Linked DNA regions of Coturnix japonica. The protein of the gene in region 1 purifies or fractionates together with the protein of each later gene. This does not show direct contact. Links are inferred from orthologs where the notes say so. Each region holds a gene or a part of one and is shown in the gene's direction. Other genes may lie near its edges. The genes, in order: PTPN9 and LZTR1.

Region 1 (4,382 bases):
CGGGTTGCAGCCCCGTTCGGCCATCTGCCGACGTGACGGGCTGCGGGCTCCGCTCGATGGCCGACAGCACGCTGATGGTTCCCGTTCCTAAAGCAGCCCCCGGGCCGGAGAGAAAGAAGGGCGAAGAGGAAGCGTGCGTTAGGAGCGGGGCTGTGGGGTGGAGGTCAGCCCCACAACGCTGCCACCGCGCTCGGGGCAGGGGCCGAGCCGCTTCTCTCTGCCCTTTCTTCCATTTTCTGCGAGTTAGGTGCAAACCCTCCGGCTGCGGGCGAGCTGCCAACGCGCTGCTCCTCGGCCGAACAAAATGTCCCCGGCTGCGGAGCGCGGACCCCCGGCCCTGGGACGGCCCAACCCTCCCCCCAACCGGGGCGGTGCCACCCATCCCGAGCGGGTCCGGCTGGTCGCTACCCGGGTGGCAGAGCCCGGGACCGGCAGCCCCCGCCCCGCCGCGCTTCCTGCCCGCCCCTCCCTCCGCCGTCGGGCCGGGCGCAGGGGAGGGGGCTGCGGGCGCTTCCTGCCACCGCCCCCGCGGGGCAGCGCCGGGCGGAGCGGAGCGGGGCGGGGAGCGGCGGCGGCCCAACCCCCAGCCGAGCGGCGCTTCCCGGGGCGAGCGGAACTTCCCGGCGCTTTGCGATCCTTACGGCGTTTTGTTGGTTTTTTTTTTTTTCCCTTTTCTTCCTATTTTTTTGTTTTCATTTGAATATTTTCATTTGCGTTTCGTTCTCGTTTTCTTTCTTTCTTTCTCTTTTTTCAATCTCATTTTCTCCTTTCCTTTCTTATTCCGTTTCCATTCCTCTCTCCATCTATATCCCATCTCCTCCATTCCCTTCCCATCCTCTCTTCCCTCCCCGCTCACGGTCGCGGACACCCCGGGGCGGAGCCGCCGCCGCCGTCTCCGAGCGGCCGCCAGGGAGGGGCGGGTGCCCGCAGTGCCGCCGCTCCGGGGATGGGCTCCGCCGCTTAGCACGGCCCGCACGGCCCGGCCGCAGCATGGCCGCGGAGCTGAGCGCCGAGGAGGAGCAGGTACGTGCCGGCCGAGCTGCGAGCACCGGGCGGCGGACGGCTTTGCTCCCCCCTGCATCCACGCAGCCTCCGTCTGCCCCTTATCCGCTCCATCCGCACGCCCCCCCACCCATCCCCGTTCCTTTCCGTTACGCATCCCCTCTGCTTCATCATCTCCATCCCCGGCTCTCCCGCAGGCTCTACCCCGCCGCCGTAACGGAGCCGCCGCCCCCCTTGGTGCCCGTGGGGCTGTGCGGGGCTGTGTGCACGCTCTTCCCACGCCCCGCACCTCCCGTGACGTCCCGGCTTCCTCCCCGGCCGTGCGTCACCGCGGGAGGATGTTGCTGGGCTCGGGAGCGGGGCTGGCAGCCCAGCATCGCCCTGGGATGTGCGGGTGGGAAGGGGGGCTGTCCCACAGCTCGGGGATCTGGGACGCAGCAGTGACGCAGGGCTTTGCTTCCTTTCCTCTGCCCGCTTTATCTCTAGAAGGTGGGCAGGTACATCACATTTCGGGGCGCATCTGGTGCTGGCCCATCTGACATCGCTTTGGGTCGAGCCAAGTGCCAGCCTTGTTCTGCCACCTAGTTCTTCCCCCCCATTAAATTGCCTTTGGGGAGTCCGGGGGATGCTAATAGGAATGTCCTTGTGTCCTGCAGGCCACCAAGCAGTTCCTGGAAGAGATCAACAAGTGGACGGGCCAGTACAATGTGTCCCCGCTCTCCTGGAACGTGGCCGTCAAGTTCCTCATGGCCCGCAAGTTCGACGTCCTACGGGCCATTGAGCTCTTCCACTCCTACCGCGTATGTCAAGGGGGTTTGTGGGCTCACACATCCCTGTGTGTCATACTGGGGGTCACACTGTGTTCCCACTGCAGGAGACGCGGCTCAAGGAGGGCATCGTGAAGCTGAAGCCTCACGAAGAGCCGCTGCGTTCAGAGCTGCTCAGTGGGAAGTTCACCATCCTGGTAGGTGCATGGGGTGGCAGTGCACAGTGTGGTGCTGCCTACAGTCATGCCATGACCTTGCTTTCCTCCTGCAGAGCGTTCGGGACCCTTCAGGGGCATCCATTGCCCTGTTCACGGCCAAGCTGCACCACCCCAGCCGCAGTGTGCAGCATGTGGTGCTCCAGGCGCTCTTCTACCTGCTGGACAGGGCCGTGGAGAGGTGAGCTCTGTGTTCTGCCACTGCCTTGTGTTCTGGATGCTGCTTTGTTGTTGCTCGCAGCCCAAGCTCTGTTAGTTCAAGTAGCCTATAAGCAGCAGCTCGCCCTATGTTTGCATGCCAAGGATTGATGACAGCCCGTTTAGAAGCCTTCCAGGCATGGCAAAAATCAGTGGCATCCTTAAGGCGTCCGCATGTGCCTCGTGTTACTGTGCCGGGGATCTCCGGCCCTTGGAAAGCCCCGGCCGTGGGAGCCCTGCTGGAACACTGAGCCCAGTCACCCCGTTCCTATGGCTGGGCTTTGTCTGTGGGCTGACACCATGTACCTGGGATGGGCTCAGGGTGGGGGAGAGGCAGCTTCGGGCTCTTCATCTCACTGGGAACACAGAGGAGACTCTTCTGGGGTCACTGAGGGTGCGTCCATGATCTTGGAGTGGTGCTGCTTTTTCCCCCTGCCCAGTTTCGAGACACAGAGGAATGGGCTGGTGTTCATCTACGACATGGCGGGCTCGCAATACACCAACTTCGAGCTGGACCTCAGCAAAAAGATCCTCAACCTGCTGAAGGTAACGACGGCAGGGATGGGATGGGGCAGGATGATGGGATGGGGGGGGATGCAGGAGGTTGGGTGCCATCCACAGCCCCTCGGGGGGAGGCTCAGGCACTGGGAGGGGATCAGCTGTCCCCACGCGCTGGATTCCTCACACAGCTGCTGGCAGCTCTTTCATGAAAACAGATGCAAATTATTTTTTAATGGTGCTGGCATTTCGTGCCTCCTCCCTTCTCCGGAAAAATAGCTCCCAGTAAATAGCAGCTGGGGCTCAAAGCCCTGCTCCCGCCCTCACCGCTGCCTCATCAAGCCCAGCCCTCTGCTGGCCACATGGAAATCGATGTGGACTGGAGCATGGACTGTGCTGGGAGCTGCTTTGCTCCAGGACCCTGCGGTTGTCATTGCTGTGGGGCCACGCTGGGTGTGGGTTAGTCCTGCAGCGTGGAGCCGAGCCGTCCCTGAGCCCTCGCTGTCCACAGGGCGCTTTCCCAGCGAGGCTGAAGAAGGTGTTCATCGTGGGAGCACCCATGTGGTTCCGCGTGCCCTACTCCATCATCAGCCTGCTGCTGAAGGAGAAGCTGCGTGAGAGGGTGAGTGTGGGGGCTGCAGGCTCCTGGGGGCTGGCAGCTTTAAAAGGGAAAGAAAACGAGCCACGTGGGAGAAGATAAACTTGGTTGCTGCTTGGAACAATATGCCCGAAGATCTCTGCTGCTTGAGCTGAGGAGAGCCCTCCTGCCGGCTGAGCTGAGTGCCCATGCCTGTCCTCTGCAGGTGCAGATGGTGAAGATGTCGGAGCTGAAGGAGCATTTGCCCCGCGAGTGCCTTCCCGAGACCCTCGGCGGCTGCCTCAAGCTGGACCCGCTCAGCTGGAACTGCCGCTTCCTACCGCAGCAGAACGGGCACCCCGACCCCTTGGATGAGCTTATCCTGGTGCCACTGGTGACCCCTCGTGACAACGGCTCGCTCCACGTGCCCGGCCCCAAGGCTCTCACCCCGCAGGAGCTGCTGGAGCACGTCAGCCGCAAGCAGAAGCGCGGTATCTATGAGGAGTATGAGGACATCCGGCGCCGGAGCCCGGCCGGGACCTTCGTCTGCTCCTTGTGAGTTGAATGGGGTGGGAGGGGCAGCGGGAAACTGGTGCACGCTGCTCCCGGGACTGCAGCCAGGTGATGGCAGCAGAGCCCCGGGCATTGCCTTGGGATGCCCTGCTGCCCTGCCCTGTCTCTGCCCCAGGGCGCCCTACAACCAGGAGAAGAACCGTTATGGGGACGTGCCCTGCTTGGACCAGACCCGCGTGAAGCTGGCCAGGCCCTATAGCCGCCCTGAGGTGAGCCCCCATTGCATTCCACCAGCCCATCCCTGACGCCCAGTATCTGGGTTCTCACTCGCTTTGCTTGCTTGGAGCTGAGCCCAGGGGTCATGCTGAAGCCATTCCTGTGGTACACTCATGCCGTGTCATTGTCCGCAGCTGACCGACTACATCAACGCCAGCTTCATGGATGGCTACAAGCAGAGGAACGCGTACATTGGGACACAAGGTAAGGGCTGTGTGTTCACACAAACATAGCATGGCCTGGGTTGAAAAGGACTGTAATGATCACCTAGTTTCAGCCCCACCGCTATGTGCAGGGTTGCCAAGCAGCAGCCCAGGCTGCCCAGAACCACATCCA
Region 2 (3,801 bases), on another chromosome or scaffold:
GGAAGAGGTAAGATCTCATTTGGAATGGACCAAATGCTGCTCATGTGCTCTGTCTGCAGATTGTCCTGCAGTGTGTGGCATCGTGCTGCCATGTTTCTGATTGAACATCCTTGTCTTTCAGATTGAACAGAGCGGTGAGATCCCCCCTTCGTGCTGCAATTTTCCTGTGGCTGTATGCAAAGACAAGATGTTTGTCTTCTCGGGGCAGAGCGGAGCGAAGATCACCAACAATCTCTTTCAGTTTGAATTCAAGGAAAAAATGTAAGTGCAGACAGTAACACAGTGCAAAAATCATTCTCCACTTCTTGAGTTGAAGTTGTTGAGAGCAGTGCTGCCTTTCGTGACCTGCATGGCTGGATTAAATAAGACATGGGCTGTGTGGGTGGGACTGTGTAGCTCACTTTGTAATGCTGTTCTCCCTCACCCTGTTTGGTGTCTCAGATGGACGCGGATTCCCACTGAGCACCTCCTGCGGGGCTCCCCCCCACCCCCCCAGCGCCGCTATGGTCACACCATGGTTGCATTTGACCGGCACCTCTACGTGTTTGGTGGTGCAGCGGACAACACGCTGCCCAACGAGCTGCACTGCTATGATGTGGACTCACAGACATGGGAGGTTATCCAGCCCAGCCCTGACAGTGAGGTAAAACATTCAGCTTTCCTTTCTGCCTTTTACTTTCCATCTTGTAATTCAAGTTTTGAGCCAATTGTTACCCAACAGAAATGAGAAACGAAGTCACCCTGTGACAACCATCACAGCTGTGTGATGGGGTGTCAGCGTTGTGCAGTGCTCTGCTCAGAGATGTGCTGGCATTGCAGTGCTGGGTTCGTGCTGCTGGCAGTGCAGTGCCCTCCCAGTGTGCAGAACACAGAAGGCTGTGTGCAGCCTGCACACATACACACACTGCCTGCCTTTGGAACAGCAGGGCTGACTGCATGGGCTCATTCTCATAGATCTCACTGTAAGCCATCTGCAGGTAGTTCAGCTGATGCAGCAGTGTGTTCTGAGTGTTTGTGTTGGCTGCTGTGTGGGGAAGCAGCACTTGGCTTTGTGGTGAGCTGCAGGGATGAAGGCTCTCCATTACACAGGTGATTATTGCATCAGTGAGGATCAAACACAGATCTGAAGATGATGGGAGCCTTCCTCCCACCTTGCTTCCTCGCAGTGCTCTGCGCCCCCCATGAGCTGCTTCCTGAGCCAGGCCCTCCCTGCAGCAGTGCTGCCCACCATTCCCCTGTTGGCATGTAGGGAAAGAATCCATGCAGCCTTTTGTTGAGTTAAAATGTGTTTTCAGCAGCTGGGTTGTGAGGACATGTTTTGTGTTCTGCAATGGGACTCCAGCAGCTCTGCATTATCACTCTGCTGAGCAGCACCACAGCTGGAGCAAACGTGCAAGCAGGTCAGCACCCATCTGACAGCTGGATGCCATTCAGGTTCCTGTGATGCATTTCCTTAATCCTTTCTTCTTTTGCACCGCTTCTGGTGTTAAGTGGGCAGAGTCTGCAGAACCTGAAGAGGGACTGGCACTGATCTCAGTGCCATCACTGGCCTTCTGAAGCCAGGAACAGCATGTGCTTCTGATACTCAGAGCTCTGAACTTTTTGCTTTTCTTCTCTGTTGTAAATCAGCAAGGAGAGAGCTCAGCATGTTGGTGAGCTCCCCTGGCTTTGCTTTGAGGCACAGTGCTGGGGGTGGATCGCTGTGCTGTGCTCTGTGGATGGATCAACTCATCACGTGTGGGTGAGTGCCACGGTCTCCCTGTGCAGAGCAGTTACAACCACTGAGGTATCTTCAGGCAGAAGAGATGTTCTTATGGAACAAAAGCCCAGATTCCATCACTGAATCCCTGACCAGAGCTCACAGCCTTCAGGTGTGGCCTCTGGAGCTGCCATGGTGTCCTATTCTGCTTGAGGAGATGAAATTCAGCACCTCACAGGTGGTTTTATGGTTGTATGTAAAGGAAGCGCAGCATTCAGAGTTGCATCCTCTTTAGAAAGTACCTTTTTAAATCCCGGATCATTGTAGCTGTGACCTTTCCAAGTTTGTGCTCAGCAAACCGGAGAGATGTCTTGAAGAACACGAGATTTATTAAAGAAAAAGGTTAAAGGAATTAAAATGACCGTAATTTGGGTTGTTCCACACCTCGGTTCCTTTCTGTTAAATGCATTCATTTCATTTCTCAGTGATGTTTATTATGGAATTCTCCCCCAAATAAGAGAAGTTTGGGCTTGTGTGGGTGATGGGCAGAGGGTGTTTTGTGTCTGAGGTGCTGCAGCAGAGCAGTGCTACCATGACTCACATTAAGCGGATATAAGGTTTGATATCTGAAAGATAGGAAATGGGATTTTGAATGAGGAGTGGTTGCTCTGCTTTGTCCTTTGGGGACCATTCATTTGTGTTGCATTGTTCAAAACTTTTGTCAATGGCCTTGAAAGAAAACAGGAAATCACAGCTTTCCCCTGATATCTCCTGATTGCCTGTGGTCTTAATGATGAAATCCTCAGTGCTTTGGATTCCTTGTTAAGGTGGGCCCAAGCAAACGGTCTGTTTCAGCAAAGTAACGCATCTAGGAACAGAGAATGTGGTTTTGCTGAATGGTTTCCCTTAAGAAAACCCTTGGAAACAGTGAGTTACAAGCTTTAGTCATTGTGGGTAGCTGAGAAAAGCTCCTTGTAATGGAAAGGGCCTGCAAGTGCTGATGGTATTTTTGGCTGTATGAGCTGACATAGCATAGCATCGTTTAGTAACAAAGATGCATCGCCCCTGTGTTCCTTAGTTTAGCTCCCAGTGTAGTGTGGACCATCTCCTGTGGCACTCTGTGATGTGACTGTGCATCTTGTGATATAACAAGATATATTGTGTTATATCACAGTGACTCCCTGCTGAGTCCTGTAGGAGCTTGTGGTGTTCTTCCTGTTTGAGAGCCTTCTCACTTAAACTGCAGCCCTGCTTAAGCTGTGGCTCTGCATGTGAGCTCTGAGGTGCATCAGAAGCTGCCCCCAACCTAACCCAGGGTTAGGGTTAGGGTAAGTAAGGGTAAGGGTTAGGGTAGGGTTGGGTTTAGGGTTAGGGTAGGGTTGGGTTTAGGGTTAGGGTAGGTTTGGGGTGGGAAATGTTCATTTGGCTTAATGCTGCTTTTGCAGCAATTCAGCTTCATTTGCTGAGGACTTTGAGTAAAGCTGAGTGTTCCTAGTGAGGTTAATACTGAAACCAATGAGTTTATGTGAGGGTTTGCACAGGTTTAATTAAATTAATTTTGATGTAGGTGGAAACAGCCCTAAGTTGGTGCTCAGGGCTCTGATGTCAACTATTTGAATGATTGCTGGCCTGCAGCACAGAGGAGCAGAACTAAGGCACAGCTTTGTGAGCCAAATCAGAGCCCCGAGGAGCACCACAGGATGAGATTTGAGTTTGTGCTGGCTTGAGTGAGTACTGAGATGGGTTCTGGGTGCAAGAAATGCCAAAGGAGTGAGTGCTGAAAGGTGATGTGAGCCATGGCAGCAGTGGTGAGGGGAGGAGGGGTGGCTGATGGGTTCTGCTGTGAAAGTGAAGATCCCATCTTGAGCTCGCAAATCTCGTTAACCTAAAATAGGGAAAGCACTTCAGCAGATGAAGCAGGTCGGTGTGCTGTGAGCACAGTGTGTAACCCAGGGCTGCAGAGATGTCAGGGCTGAAGCGAGGATTCTTTCTGTCAGCACTGCTAATAAAGTAAGGAGATCACAATAACTGGGGGATAAGAATGGGAGCTTTAGGAACCAAATCCATCTGGGGGCAGTGTGTCTCATGTGAGGCTTTGTGCA

The links.
Region 2: the proteins of PTPN9 (region 1) and LZTR1 purify together in Homo sapiens (affinity purification with mass spectrometry; 3 studies listed by BioGRID and IntAct, with this or other methods). This does not show direct contact. The link is inferred for Coturnix japonica from reciprocal best matches to the Homo sapiens genes PTPN9 and LZTR1.

What each region holds. Positions count from the first base shown.
Region 1 is NC_029525.1:1,987,832-1,992,213, reverse strand, and holds the start of PTPN9 (tyrosine-protein phosphatase non-receptor type 9), read left to right. Parts: upstream 1-1,325; 5' UTR 1,326-1,340; coding exon 1,341-1,499; intron 1,500-1,658; coding exon 1,659-1,802; intron 1,803-1,876; coding exon 1,877-1,966; intron 1,967-2,040; coding exon 2,041-2,165; intron 2,166-2,622; coding exon 2,623-2,728; intron 2,729-3,191; coding exon 3,192-3,302; intron 3,303-3,483; coding exon 3,484-3,812; intron 3,813-3,945; coding exon 3,946-4,039; intron 4,040-4,180; coding exon 4,181-4,250; intron 4,251-4,382. UniProt on the Homo sapiens protein: Protein-tyrosine phosphatase that could participate in the transfer of hydrophobic ligands or in functions of the Golgi apparatus.
Region 2 is NC_029541.1:979,098-982,898, forward strand, and holds part of LZTR1 (leucine-zipper-like transcriptional regulator 1), read left to right. Parts: coding exon 1-7; intron 8-121; coding exon 122-261; intron 262-441; coding exon 442-643; intron 644-3,801. UniProt on the Homo sapiens protein: Substrate-specific adapter of a BCR (BTB-CUL3-RBX1) E3 ubiquitin-protein ligase complex that mediates ubiquitination of Ras (K-Ras/KRAS, N-Ras/NRAS and H-Ras/HRAS).